Linked DNA regions of Caenorhabditis elegans. The main gene of each other region encodes a partner of the protein of the gene in region 2 in a complex. Each region holds a gene or a part of one and is shown on either strand. Other genes may lie near its edges.

What was found. The genes of interacting proteins can lie anywhere in the genome.
Region 1: eif-3.B (region 2) and eif-3.G share a complex: the UniProt entries of both Caenorhabditis elegans proteins name them as parts of the eukaryotic translation initiation factor 3 (eIF-3) complex.
Region 3: eif-3.B (region 2) and eif-3.L share a complex: the UniProt entries of both Caenorhabditis elegans proteins name them as parts of the eukaryotic translation initiation factor 3 (eIF-3) complex.

Annotation. Positions count from the first base shown.
Region 1 is NC_003280.10:8,440,961-8,444,730, reverse strand, and holds eif-3.G (Eukaryotic translation initiation factor 3 subunit G), read right to left. Parts: upstream 1,965-3,770; 5' UTR 1,948-1,964; coding exon 1,931-1,947; intron 1,885-1,930; coding exon 1,832-1,884; intron 1,711-1,831; coding exon 1,631-1,710; intron 1,550-1,630; coding exon 1,167-1,549; intron 1,079-1,166; coding exon 823-1,078; 3' UTR 556-822; downstream 1-555. Other genes in the region: evl-20 (ADP-ribosylation factor-like protein 2), read right to left, coding at 1-85, 136-424; lips-10 (LIPaSe related), read right to left, coding at 2,730-2,922, 3,121-3,410. UniProt on the Caenorhabditis elegans protein: RNA-binding component of the eukaryotic translation initiation factor 3 (eIF-3) complex, which is involved in protein synthesis of a specialized repertoire of mRNAs and, together with other initiation factors, stimulates binding of mRNA and methionyl-tRNAi to the 40S ribosome.
Region 2 is NC_003280.10:14,793,565-14,798,739, reverse strand, and holds eif-3.B (Eukaryotic translation initiation factor 3 subunit B), read right to left. Parts: upstream 3,337-5,175; 5' UTR 3,312-3,336; coding exon 3,230-3,311; intron 3,161-3,229; coding exon 2,967-3,160; intron 2,922-2,966; coding exon 2,589-2,921; intron 2,536-2,588; coding exon 1,828-2,535; intron 1,758-1,827; coding exon 897-1,757; 3' UTR 505-896; downstream 1-504. Other genes in the region: tbc-20 (Rab-GAP TBC domain-containing protein), read right to left, coding at 1-103, 153-254. UniProt on the Caenorhabditis elegans protein: RNA-binding component of the eukaryotic translation initiation factor 3 (eIF-3) complex, which is involved in protein synthesis of a specialized repertoire of mRNAs and, together with other initiation factors, stimulates binding of mRNA and methionyl-tRNAi to the 40S ribosome.
Region 3 is NC_003280.10:5,619,368-5,624,408, forward strand, and holds eif-3.L (Eukaryotic translation initiation factor 3 subunit L), read right to left. Parts: upstream 3,115-5,041; coding exon 3,042-3,114; intron 2,431-3,041; coding exon of another isoform or gene 2,425-2,430; coding exon 2,298-2,424; intron 2,249-2,297; coding exon 1,975-2,248; intron 1,932-1,974; coding exon 1,764-1,931; intron 1,721-1,763; coding exon 1,367-1,720; intron 1,282-1,366; coding exon 1,112-1,281; intron 1,063-1,111; coding exon 825-1,062; intron 769-824; coding exon 556-768; downstream 1-555. Other genes in the region: npl-4.2 (Nuclear protein localization protein 4 homolog 2), read left to right, coding at 3,530-3,673, 3,725-4,090, 4,153-4,344, 4,392-5,041. UniProt on the Caenorhabditis elegans protein: Component of the eukaryotic translation initiation factor 3 (eIF-3) complex, which is involved in protein synthesis of a specialized repertoire of mRNAs and, together with other initiation factors, stimulates binding of mRNA and methionyl-tRNAi to the 40S ribosome.

The sequences.
Region 1 (3,770 bases), 6.4 Mb from region 2:
TTGGCAAGAACTAGAAGAGAAGCACCGGCTAATCGTTCTTCTCCGAGCAATTTTTTGAGTTCTTCGGAGCATTGTAGAAGACGCTCTGAAAAAAGTTTTTATAAATTTGAATGTATCCTAAATATTTGTTTCTACCTCTATCTGACGAATCTACCACCCAAATTAAAGCATCTGTGGATTCGAAATAATTCTTCCAATAAGATCTTAGACTTTTCTGTCCGCCAACATCCCATAAGTTTAGTTGAAAATCTTTGAAATGCACGGTTTTGATATCAAATCCTAATGTTGGTTCAATTGTATCAGTCGGCTCGTCGAGGAATTTTTTCATTAAAGTAGTCTTTCCAGCGTTGTCTAATCCAAGAATTAATATTCTCATCTCGCGTTCCCGAGCACGTTGCTTACGGAGAATCTTCAAGAAGCCCATCTGGAATTTTTGAGTTATAAAATGTTCTATTGCGTTTGAAAATTTTTAGCCATCAGATTTTTATTCAAACTATGATATTTTACATTGGACAGAAACCCAACTCGATTGGAAAAATAGAACGAAAAAATAACCAGGAAGAGATAGATTTATCATTGAAGAAAGAAAAGGAAATACCAACAATTTTCATAGCTAGAACTGCCTTCGTGAAAATAAACTTCACTTGCCAACTCTGATAACCATAGAAAGTAAAAATTATGATTTCAATAGGAAAGAACAACAAACATCGAATTGGTCTACAGTAATTTTCAGTTTAGACAGACACTAGCTACGAAATTATGAAGAACCAAACAGCGGGAAAACATCCAAGTACGCATAACATAAATAAATCAGAAAACGGATTAGTTGCTCGGACGTGTCCATTCGACTTTGAGAACCATATGGTACATTCGGATATCATTGAGTTCTGCAATTGCACGGGCGGCGTCATCTCTTGATTCAAATGTAACGAAGGCGAATCCTTTCGGGAGACCAGTGACTTTGTCACGGGCAATGAAGATTCGGATGACTCTTCCAATCTTTCCGAACAAATCACGAAGTTCGTCTTCGTTCATCTCTTGCGGAAGATTGGTGACACGGCATGTATTCTCATCGGATCTGAAAGTATGTTTTAAAAATAGTTCATAAATTATTCAATCATCAAGATTTTTTGGGCAACTTAGATTACAGTATTTTGAATGCTTACCGATTTCTATCGATTTGTCTTCCATCAGGACGCATTCCCATTGCCATTCTATCCTTTTCAGTATCCTTGTCAGCATCAGCTTCCTCGTCCAATTGGTACATGACCTTGTAAGGACAATGAGTACTCCAATGGTCGTTTCCTTTGCAATGACGGCAATGCTCACGGCTTGTAGTTTTAGCAGTCTGTTTGTCTTCTTGAACGTCAAGAATCTGCTCTCCTGCGCGATTTCTTGTGAATTGCATATCGACTTCTTCAGCCACGTAAGTTGTGGCAACTTGGGGTCCTGCTGGCTCTCCCTTACAACTTCCGAATTTCACCCATTTTTTGCGATCAGCGACGACTTTTGGTACACGTTTGTTGATAACTTTGAACTGTGTCACAACCTGAAATTTGGAATTGAAAGAATTCTAGAGCATAACTCGAGAATTCTGTAAGGCGAATTTTTTGGCCATCGGATAACAAACCTTCCATCTTACTCCATCAACCTCAGTGAAAGCTGTTTCGGTACGTGTTCCATCAGCTCCTTCCTGGATGTGTGGGGCGTCTGCAAAAGCGTTCATCAGTTCATACAGAAATGACTCGTTTTGTTAGGCGGTTGCACTCCAAATGCGAAAACCGTGAAAGTTCACGTAAATATTCTTGAAGACGAGAAATGAAAAACTTACTGTCTTGCTCAACGGCCTCAGCCCAGCTTACAACTTCTGGAGCGGGAGCCATTCTGAAACTTTCTTTACGTAAATAATTATTCGAGGGTGAAAACTCACGCGTTAATGCCAGTCATAGCTGTAACTTTACTACCTGAAAAACTATTGATTATGTTTTTAGCAATATAAAATAAGAAAAAATTTCAAATAAATGGTTTAACAAACTTCAGAATTAAAAAGAAACAGCTCTTCAAAACATGTAGATTTTAAAGTATTTGATTTTTTTTTCCAGAATAAGCGAATATTCAACTAGATTCATAGTTTTTAGCAAATATCTATAAAAACAAACTATAAATATGTAAAAAAAATATTCTACAACAAAAACACGGCTGGAAATCTTTTAAAAATGTAGAAATATCCCGAAAATCGAAAATTTGGGAAACAACGACGCATTGGGAAATCTGTGCATTTGCGCGTGGGATCATGTGTTTGCAGAATTGCGCACCGTATTGCCCAAAAGCCAAATGGCGCCGCCGCTCCGGTTTTCACAGATTATTCAGTCTCATCGGAAGAGATTTCTGAAGAAAATAATAAATATCTTCGTTTTCGGAGAAAATCACAACATTGTATCATGTGTCTAGATTGATCTGCGAAATATAGCAGTTTCCTATCTCTATTCTTATGAGAATTCTTACAAGTCGCCTGATGGACTTGATCACTTGGACGAATTTAACATTCTGATCATTTTCGTTCAAAATACCAATTTAATCAACGATTGTACTGATTTATTAAACTTTTGAACAATATACACACAAAGTTTTGAATGAAAGCAACGAGTTCGAATCAATATAAACAAGGAAATTAAAGAGATCACAAGTGAAATTTGATGTCAATTAGTATTTTTGGTGAGATTTTGTTTTTATGAGGTTTGAAGAGCCCTCCATTGATCTTCTGTAGTTCCACCAATAACTGCTCCATGCATTAGTCTAGTTTTGACGATTGAAGTGGCTCCTTCTAATGGTGAGGACATCTCTCCACACGTATTTCTGAGTCCAATAACTTCGTCAGCTACGGAATAAATGGCGAACATGTTCTTTCCGTATTGGAACGGCCTGAAAAAAATGTTGACTTGTAAAATCATGAAATTAATGTTTATGTGTACAGAAAACAACGTAATTAAATTTAAGTATGCCCTAGTATACCCAAAAAATGAAAAGCCTTGCTGGCTTAGTGGCTAAAAGTTTTGCCTTTCACGCACACCTGCATGAGTTCAATTCCCTGTGCTGGGATACTTTTTTTGCGAAACTTACTGTGAGTTGATCTCTTGTAAGAACTTGGAACGGCAATCCAAACCATGTGTTAAACTACAGATTCCATTCACAAATGGCTGCTTGGCGCACATAATAGCTCCGTGATTTGCTCCACCAACAGAAACATAATTATGAATTAGATGATTAATTGGGCGTCCCAAATTGACTCCACTATCAACACAGTGTCCTCCAAGAATAGCTTTTCTGGTAATTGGAGATCCCATGGAGCAAGCAATGATGTTTACTGGTTTCTGAGTGTATTCATGAACAGCAAGAATGAGAGTGCGAACCTGAAATTTTAGAGTTACAGTTTGGATTGCAATATTCCTTTCGTTGATTGTAATCCCTATTTCACCTATAGATTCCCCTTCATCTTTTCTTTTAGAATATCCTTCTCAATCCGGATCCCTTCCGAAAGATGTCTACCCAACCAGTCATTATAAATCTGTGTTTTGTGTAGTTTGTAAACAATCCCTTCTTTTTTCGGGTCACGTCCTTTTTCCGTTTCAACGTCACTCCGGCCGTTATCAATCGGGTCTTGAAAGATCACCGATCATCCCTTTGTTCTCTATTTATCTATATTAACAGACGAGATCAAACCCAGAAGTTATAGAAATTCCCCCACAAGGCCAGTCTAACTGTGACCATCA
Region 2 (5,175 bases):
TATATAAGCTGAGATCCTCTTTTCGGTGCTTTTTCAAAAATCGATCAATTGCTTCGCGTTTATTTCGCAACGCGTTGAATTTTGCTCTCGCCAGGGGTCCCGGCTGAAAAATTGATTTTTTTTCGTTAAATTTTCTCATTAAAAACCCCTACTTTTACATATTCTTCGCCCAAATCGCTGCATGAGGCTGTCTGCCACTTATCTACGAGCACCTCTTTCAACGGCGAATTTGGCTCCGAAAACGATGAGTGCATGAACGGGTTAATTGCTAAAATTGAAGTTTAAAGTTTTTTATAGAAATTTTATTTTAAAAAAGTATAAAAAGAACAGAGTAAAATAGAGAAAGTGGATTAAAAATTGACAGAAAACCCGATGAGACATTTGTCGTCAAATTTAATGCAAAGTGTGCATACACCGTCACGTCACATTGCACCATTTGTGGAATTTTTAATAAACGTGGAATTTTTTTTTCAGAATCACAATTTTATAGCGCTGAAAAATATAATTTATGAATTTTCACTTCTGTTTATTTGGAAAAAATCTGAAACATCAACTAATTCATCAACATTTTATCGGCAAAAACCACCAGAAAACACGGAGAGACGGGAGCAACAAGAGATATTAAAGTGGATAGAGAGAAACAATTAAATAATATTAGGGCCGCCCAAAAGAAGCTTGAAAAAACCTTCTCCATTCAGGCATCATAAAGTTAAATTTGCCATAGAAAAAGGCGTTGTTCAGAAAATGACGACATGACTGGGAAAATGAAGAGGAAAACGAAAACGAGTACATGGTGGAACCACCAAAAAGAGGGGACGCCGCTCCAAGTCTTCGAGAAATCAGGAAGAAAAAGCAGCGCATAAAAAAGGGGAAAAACCGGGAAATCAAATAACTAATTAGTCTCTCATCTCCTCCTCCGTCAGAGGGGCTTGTGTTTTGCTTGTGCTCAGCGCAATGGTAATCTCCTCATCCACAAATTCGTCCTCGTCGAGTTGGGCTTCTGTGTCCACGCCGTTTCGAAGAGAGATTCTCTCGTCACGGGTGGCGTCGAGTTGCTCGCGATTCCGGCTTCGAATAATATCGAAGGCAGCCATGATCTTGCGTCGCTTCTCAACAACCTCCTGACTGGCTCTGCACTTTTCGTCGTCATCCTGCTTGATGAACTTGGCGGCGGTCTTCTTCAAGTTCTTCTTGATCTCACGCTGCTTCTGTTCGCTCAACTTCACCGGCGGCCGTGGTCTCCACTTGAATTGGGCGAGCCGGTCGAGATTCTTTCTGCACAGTTCTCTTCCCTGGAATGTGAAGATTCGGTAACCCAAATCGGCTCCGGCTCTTCCTCCCAACGTTGAGCATGTCACAAAGTATCTTCCAGTTGGATCCCAATATCCCTTATTGAAGAGTGGATGTTCTATAACATTAGTTCTCTTGGCCTCCGACAAAGAAGTATCAATGAAATAGACGTTTCCTCCAGCTGACACCTTGGCGAGAACTGCAAGCCATCCTCCTTTCGGCGCGAATTGAACCTCATTGAAGTGAACTCCAGCGTCCAACTTGCTCACAAGCTTCGGTGCGTGGCTGTTAGCCTCGATCTTGTAGACTTGTGGAGTGGCCTTAGCGGTGTTTCCCACGAGCACACAGAACTTATCGCCTTCTGGATCCCAATCGAAATGGATGAATGGCTCCGAAAGTGGGAGATTCATAAGGGAAACGTCCTTCTTGTCAATCTCGAAGATGTCCACGTGGTATTGGCATCCTCCCTGAAATTATATCATTATTATTATTATTGTCATAGGCCTCAAAAAATCCTTTAAAAAACTCAAAACTTACCACATATTTGACTTCTCCGGTCTCTCTGTACTCCTTCTTCTTGAATCTCATCGTGTAGAAGGCCAATCGCTTTCCGCTCTTCTGCCAGAACATCTGAGCGTCGGCGACATTGTGAACGCGAGCCGAACGAAGTCTCTGCATTGATGGAACTTGCAAGAGTCCAAACTCGGCTGGAACGGCGTCAGTGCACTCTGAATAGTAGGCGAGGACTGTGGATGTTGGCGACCACTCGAATTGCTTGATATTCTCGATATTCACGGGACGGCCTTCATAGAGCTCGAACTTCTCGGATTCGAAGATCGAAATTCCGTTGATCTTCTGCTCACGCTCAAGCTTATCCTTTTCTGGAGCCTTGAGGCACGCGAAGTACTTCTCATCGAATGACCATCTGAAGAATGGCCAGGTTGGGAGCTGAGTTCTTCCGGTGAGCTCGAAAGTGGAAAAGGCCTTCTTCAATTCTCCGGTTCGGACGTCCCAAATTCTCAAACTATCCTTCTCACAGTCTCCCCAGCTGTTCGACTCTTCCGGAGCGGCGTAGGTAACAAGGTAGGTCTCACACGGCGAGAAATCAATGTATTGAACGTTGGTATGAGCGAAACGGTGGGCACGAGCGTAGTCTTTGCCTCCCCAAAGTATGATTCCTTGCTTATGGATCGTGGAAAGGTAGGAGCCGTGTGGTGACCAAGTGAAGACGGTTTCGGTCCAGTTCTGGAAAAAAAAATTATTTCATTTTTTAAAAACAAATAATTCTCAAAACTTACAGCTCTTTCAGCCTTATCGGCATCTCCTGCAAGCTCTGGATCATTTCCCTTCATATTGGTGAACACTCCGACAGTTGGAACTCCAAGTTTATCGTGGGAAATTGCGAACTGATCACGGCAACGCTCGTTTTGAAGCCACCACCAGAGATCTCCAACGTCATTATAAGCCTGCTTCTCTGGAGTTGTCCAGTGATCGGAAGGAGCTTCGAGTTGCTTCATATCCTTGAAAGAACGGGCGGTGAATGTGTGATTCTTATCGAAAGCATATCCATTCAAACTTTTCACGGCGAACTGAGCGGATCGTTGATCGGCCCACTCGGTGAGCAGAACTCCCTGGAAAAAATATATTAAAATCGATATCGTTTGCGTGAATCTCACCAAGCAACCTCCTTCTGGACTTGGCGGAATGTAGAGCTTCACTGCAGGATCCAACCTCTCCAGAACCTTCTTCAGTACACTTTGGAGTTTTCCAAGACGGTCAGCTCCAACAACTGGGATTCCCGCGATGAAGACGCAATTGTCTTCAAATTCATCGATAGTTGGTTTCTTGTGGAGAACGTCAGGAACGAGAACTGAAATAAAAACATTGATTGTTGGCTATTTTTTGGAATTGATTTCAAAAAATTGAATAAAAAACCAACCATCATCGGTGACGTCGTCAACAAATCCTGGCGGATCCGAAAAATCTTCTTCGTTCTCTTTATTAAAGTCAATTTCGACCATTCTGTGTAACCCAACTAGTCTGAAACTTTAGACACGGTTTATTGAGTAAATTGTGAGATATTTTAAAGGAAAATGGAAGGAAAAACGAGATAAGTTGAATTTTTACAGAATTTTCTCCGAAAATTGTGGAAAAATGTTGGAAAACGCTGGAAAATCTGAAAAATAGGACCGATATTTGGAATATGAACAAACTCTAAACAACACCCATGCGGGAGAACGGAGCGTCGTTGCAAGCGCTCGACCGAAGAGAATCCTAGGCCGCGTCCATGAGATTTGCGCGGAATTTCAAATAGAGATAATTTTGAAACTCAAACGCGAATCAATGCATTTATAAATATTTAATGAAAGAAAAATGGGTGTACGCAAACACCAGACTTTACGAAGAAATGCGGACATTTGCCCTTTTTTCCGGAGAACGCGGCAGCGAGTACATTTTAAATATATTTATCGATCAGTTGTTTAAGTAAATAGCACAATCGATACCGAGCTCCAGTCGATGCCCGCTCAACAATCAAAGAGCAAGCAACAATCCAAGGGGGTAGTCCTCACAACAATGCTGCTGACCGTTTACTGTACAAATCACGCAATTTTTACTATAACATGATGATTAGTATACATTATTCTCAATGGATTCGTCCTTGCAGATGATTTGCTATGAGTGTTTCAGTAAAAAGTTGTTGAATCAAAGAAGTTTTGGATTTTAAGAAAGAACTTGAAAACTTAAAATAATTCTGATAGTCTTAGGTCGTTTCATATTCTGGGTTAGATGAGTTTTGTCGACTGTGCAACAGAAAGGTTTGGGCTTTACATTGGAAAAAGTGAGTGTATTGCATCGGAAGACTATGTCTGGATACGGAGTTGTGTTTTTGTTAGTTTTACTGTAACATGATGATTAGTTTACATTATTCTCTTTGGATTCGTCCTTGCAGAGTATGGACTATGAGTGTTTCAGTAAAAAGTTGTTGAATCAAAGAAGTTTTGGATTTTAAGAAAGAACTTGAAAACTTAAAATATCTCTGACAGGGTTAGGTCGTTTCATATTCTGAGTTAGATGAGTTTTGTCGACTGTGCAACAGAAAGGTTTGGGCTTTACATTGGAAAAAGTGAGAGTATTGCCGGTACAAAATCTGCCAGCTTCGACGGAAGGGATAGCTTGTATAAAACGAAAAGTTAAAGGCAAAACCACAAATGATTTTTAGCAGTTCTTTTTTATTCTTCTGCGGATCGTCTTGCTTTTTCATGATTGATGATTCTTGGTTCTCCATGATTAGTACGGTAACACAGCAGCATTTTGTCAAGCTATGTTTTTGCGATGAGCGGCCCTGTTTGATGACCTAGCGGCACTCAATTGCGCGCTCAATCGAATGACTGGTTATTTAAAATCGAAAATAGAGGTGGGGTAGGCGATTTTTTTTGGAATTTTTTTAGTCTGCTACTTGATACATATAGACACTTTCGTATCTATAGAAATTTGATGTTCTTCAAATGCCACACCTCTAATCGATTTTTATTTGGCTAGCACAATCGATACCGAGCTCCAGTCGATGCCCGCTCAACAATCAAAGAGCAAGCAACAATCCAAGGGGGTAGTCCTCACAACAATGCTGCTGACCTTTTACTGTACAAATCACGCAATTTTTACTATAACATGATGATTAGTATACATTATTCTCAATGGATTCGTCCTTGCAGATGATTTGCTATGAGCGTTTTAGTAGAAAGTTGTTGAATCAAAGAAGTTTTGGAATTTAAGAAAGAACTTGGAAACTTAAAATATCTTTCATAGTCTTGGGCCGTTTCATATTTTGAGTTACATTAGTTTTATCAACTGTACAAGAGCAAGGTTCGGGTTTCACACTTGAAC
Region 3 (5,041 bases), 9.2 Mb from region 2:
AATAATTTTTTTTAATTTTGAAAACAAACGGGAAAAAAAATCGGGATCAATGGAAAAGATTGTTGTTGTCCTCCTGTTCTACTTATCTTCCCTCGAGACTGGAGACGCAGGCATAACTAGTGGGAGAATACACATAAGACTACGTTCTAGGTGAAAACCATGGACCTATAGGTCAAAGTACAGTCTATCACTGTACATACAAGACTACTCGTAAGAGAGATTAATAATTATTCGGAAAAAATTGAGAAGTAGTTGCGATGAGCGTAGAATATAAACAATCATAAATTAACTTCATAAGAAAAACCAAAAAAATTTACTAAACTTATTATGAACCATGGATACAAAATAATTGGGAGATAAGAGAAAAAAAGGAAGTTTAGGACCAAAACGAAAAGACAACAACAGGAGAAAGTGGTATAAATAAACGGAGAGATGTTTTTAATTTTCAACAAGAGATATAATGTTAACAAACGAGTGGGAGTTGGTGTGAAACTAAACGAAATTAACCGGAAATCAACCAGTCATGTTTCGTTTAGCTCAAATACTTTTTAAGGATCATGGTTTCTGGATATCGAGTCGTTTGAGCACATCCTGAACCTCTTGCAACTTCTGAATATGTCGAATGAAATGTTCACCGACGTGACGAGCAACTTTGGTATCGGCAATATTGATCATATCACGGTCTACGTAAAAGTCAATATCTGTTTGTGGCTCATCGTCGTCTGCTGATGATGGTCCGGCTTCTTTGCCAAGCTCATTGACGATCATCTGAAATTCAAAATATTACATCAACACTCGAGATCATCGGAAATTCTTATATATACCTTGTAAGTGAGAAGCTTTCCAATGAACGAATCATAGTGCTCATCATCAACATCCATGAACGACGCAAGCTTCTTAGTTGGAAGTGTTGTGTAAAGTTTCAGGTATCCACGAAGAACTGGTAACGCCATCTGTGATTCAATACCTTCCAGGAAAGATTGAGTTTGACGAAGAAGTGGTTCTTTCGATTGGTTGACTCCCTCATAGACAACTGTGGTTGGAGACAAGAACTTTGGACATCTGCAACAATACAATACTATACAATTACTTGACTAATTTCGTTTCCTACCCAGTAGCAAAAGCATTTCTGAATTCATCGATATTCCCGTTCGCCATGTGCATCATACGCTCACCACATCGCTCCGAAAGCTGAGAAGCAATGCTTTCATCGATTCTTTGTGGCTGGATGGCGAGGCAGATTGCAAGAAGATGGAAAAGCTGATCCCACGTCTTTCCAATCTGAAATCGGCAGAATATTATTGGGTCTTCATTAGATATTCAATTATTGTGCAAATATTGTGCAAAAAATTTAGAAAGTACTCACAACATCATATTGGAAGTTCTTTTTCGATGGCTGCTGATTTTGAACACTCTTTGTTCTTTGAATATAAAGCAGACAATTGACGAACATCTTTGTAGCTTCTCCGTAATTTCTCATCATCAAATGAGAAAATCCAACAAAGTAATGGAGAGTAACAAGGCAAGTTGGAACTGTATTGTAGATTCCTTTTGGATCAATATCCACGTATTGCACGGTTTTCAAAGCCTGATGATAGTCTCCTAGAAGAACGTGAGTGCGGAGAAGTCCGATGAGAGCGAAATATCCAAGCTTGAAGTAGAGATCCGATTGACCGAATTCATCGGCGACCGAATCCGGATTGCGTTTTTCCTGGAACGACTGTAGAGTTGAAAGCAAAAAAATAATATTGAATTAAACAAACCTTCAATGCCTTGAGCTGCTCCACAATTTGGGATTTTGATAGAAGCGAATAGAGAATGTTGAGAACTGGATAGATATTCCACGCGTTCTGATTTTCTTCGATATTGATGAGATCTTCAACTTCATCAGCATTGCGTTTTCCTGGGTTAGCCTTGTAGAGACAGAATGCCTGAATATTTATATTACGTACAAACTCTACCAAAAAATATTACCTGGAATTGATAGACGAATTCGTCGATAATATCCCAAAGCCACACGTTAGGGAGAGACAATGGAATTGGATCCTTGCTTGAGAGAAGCTCAGAGAATAACTCTTGATAGTTCATGAACGACTCATAGCGATGGACAAGGAGTGGTCCACGAGTATTTCTTGCATACAGCTGGCGATAATAGAGTTCCTTGTAGAGAATTATGAACAACTTGTTGCCAGGTCCAATAATTCTTTCGACAACATTCTCATCGGGCCACATGCGATCACGGAAGAATCTGAAATTAAAAGATAAATAGAAAACAATTTGAGATTATTAAATATTACCTCTCGGTGAGATCTGGAAAAGCTTGATCGTAGAGAGTCAAAATTTCCGGCACATTTTGTTCGTCAACCATGCGGGAAAAGTAGACCAGGTAGTCGGCGACCTCATTTGGAACTCCATCCTCATCGGCTGAAGCTGTTAAAAATTAAGAAATGAGATAAGTTTGTGTTGTTAACAAGCACCTAAATAACTACCATAAATATGTTTATAGAATTACTCTATTGATTGATTATCAATTTTTCTTTTGAAAAGATTTCACAATGCACGATCATTGATCCTCTGATACTCAACTTCTCTCTCGGGCTTTTAAATGATTAACTTCTTATGAACTCTTATGAACACCTTTTCATTTATTATTTCTTTCAAATGAATAAAGCTGTGATTCATTTAATCTGAGATTTGAGGATATTCGACACCGAAAAACACTGAAAATGACAAAAGTAGTCATTTTCATATACAATGAGGGAGTTCTGAGAATTGGCATTGATTCTTCACTGTAACAGTATTTGGAAAATTTGGTTTTTCTGAATTTTATGTATTTTGCTCATGGAATGTTAATCTGCAGTTTTTATGCAAAATTATTTCAGACCAAATTCTCCAAATGTCTGTTTGCCGAATTAAAATAAATCGGTTAATCAAAAAAGGACCGAGTCTTCAGTCTTTTCGAACTGTTTCAAATTTTAACATTTTTCAACTCATTTTACTCTTATTCATCAATTCTGAAAAATAGCATTCTGTGAACTTACAAGAAAAGGTGTTGGTGCGACGACGATCAGAGTGATCTTCAGTGGATAAATCGAATTCCACGCGTCGAGACATTACTGAAAGAAGGTTTTTATATTGATATTATTTAAATGTCAAACTAAATTCGAAAAGGTACGCTAAAATTAAGAGAAAACATTTTTTTAATTGTAAAATTTGATGAAAGGAATTGGAAAATGTGATGGAAAAAAGAAAATTGCAAGCGTTGCATGGGATTTCGCAAGAGTGCCGCACGGTTTTTTGTGTACGCATTTGCTCGTCATTCATGTTGTCTAGGCAGTTTTGATGACATTTTTTATTCTAAAAACAAAATGTTTTATTTCATTTGCTGTTTAATGTTTGAATATGTATGGAAACTAATTTGATACCCTTTCCGCTGCATTATTTTTGCAAAATCTCAAAATTATATATCTTCAATTCACTACCTAGAAGGCATATCTTCCTGCATTTAAAAATCTATTTTATTTCAGATATGGTAATTGAAGTCCCTCAAACTGAGCGTGTCAACGACGTTGATGTTTTTTTAAGCACGCAAGATGGTCAAATTCAGCGTCCAAAAGGGCCCAACTGTCGGCATCCTGTACGTCAAAAGTGCACTAATTGTTTGCCTGTTGATGTAAGTGATATTTTCTGTTGTTTTCATAGAAACTAATATCAATATTTACAGCCATTCGATGAAGAATATTTGAAAGAAAAAGATATCAAGCATATGAGCTTCCATGCACATGTTCGCAAGCTCCTTGGATCCCAGGGGAAGGGCACGACTCTCAAAAAACCGCTGGAAAACTTTCGATGTTCATTAAAACCCAACTGTGATGCTCACAAGCCGTTCCCGAAAGGAATTTGCACTAAATGCAAACCACAGGTTGTAACATTGAATCGTCAAAAGTTTCGTCATGTTGATAACATTCAAATTGAAAATCAAGAGCTTGTAAATCAGTTTTTGGATTATTGGAGACTATCGGGCCATCAGCGTGTTGGATTTTTAATTGGACAGTATCAGCCTCACCTTGAAGTTCCACTAGGAATCAAGGTAAGTTCAGTACTTCATCACTCATTTCTTGAGACGAGTTATTTCATTGCTCATACTTTCAGGCTACAGTGGCTGCAATTTATGAACCTCCACAACACTGCCGTGAAGATGGAATTGAGTTTTTGGAGGATAAAAATCAAAAAACTATTGACAATTTGCTGGAAATGCTTGGCTTGCAACGTGTTGGATGGATCTTCACAGATTGTTGGACAGCTAATAGTGCTGAAGGAACTGTACATTATACACGGCACAAGGTGAGAACAATCTCGAAGAGAAGCCCAAAAAACGAATAATTTTTCAGGATTCCTTCTTCCTATCAGCTGAGGAATGCATCACCGCAGCAATGCTTCAAAATCAACATCCAAACATCACAGAGTACTCGATGGATCGTCACTATGGATCCAAATTTGTGACCGTTGTTGCATCTGGTGATGAATCGATGCATGTTAATTTCCACGGATATCAAGTTTCAAATCAATGTGCGGCCATGGTTGAAGCTGATATTCTCTGTCCAACACTGTACACTCCTGAATTGGCTTATGTTCGAGAGACACCATTATCCGAAGAACATTATATAACTGATGTTCAATTTTCGATGAAAAATGAATACGGAGCCGAGGTTATGAAAAACGGACGACCACTTCCAGTTGAATATTTGCTGGTGGATGTTCCTGCTGGAATGCCAAAAGAGCCTCACTACACGTTCCACGTTGGCACATCTAATAAATCGAAGAGTGCCAAATTTAATGTTGAAAATCGACAAGCAATTGGACAACTTCAAGGAGGTGCAAATTTGATTCAATATTCATCCGAATTCTCTACAAATCAATTTTTGGAACAGGCTACAAACTTCCACTTTTTGCTCTATTTAGTAACCAATGACCAAGTGCAGATTTCTGATGAATGGATGAAACGATTGTGTGATGCAGTTAAAGCTCAGGACAGAGGAAC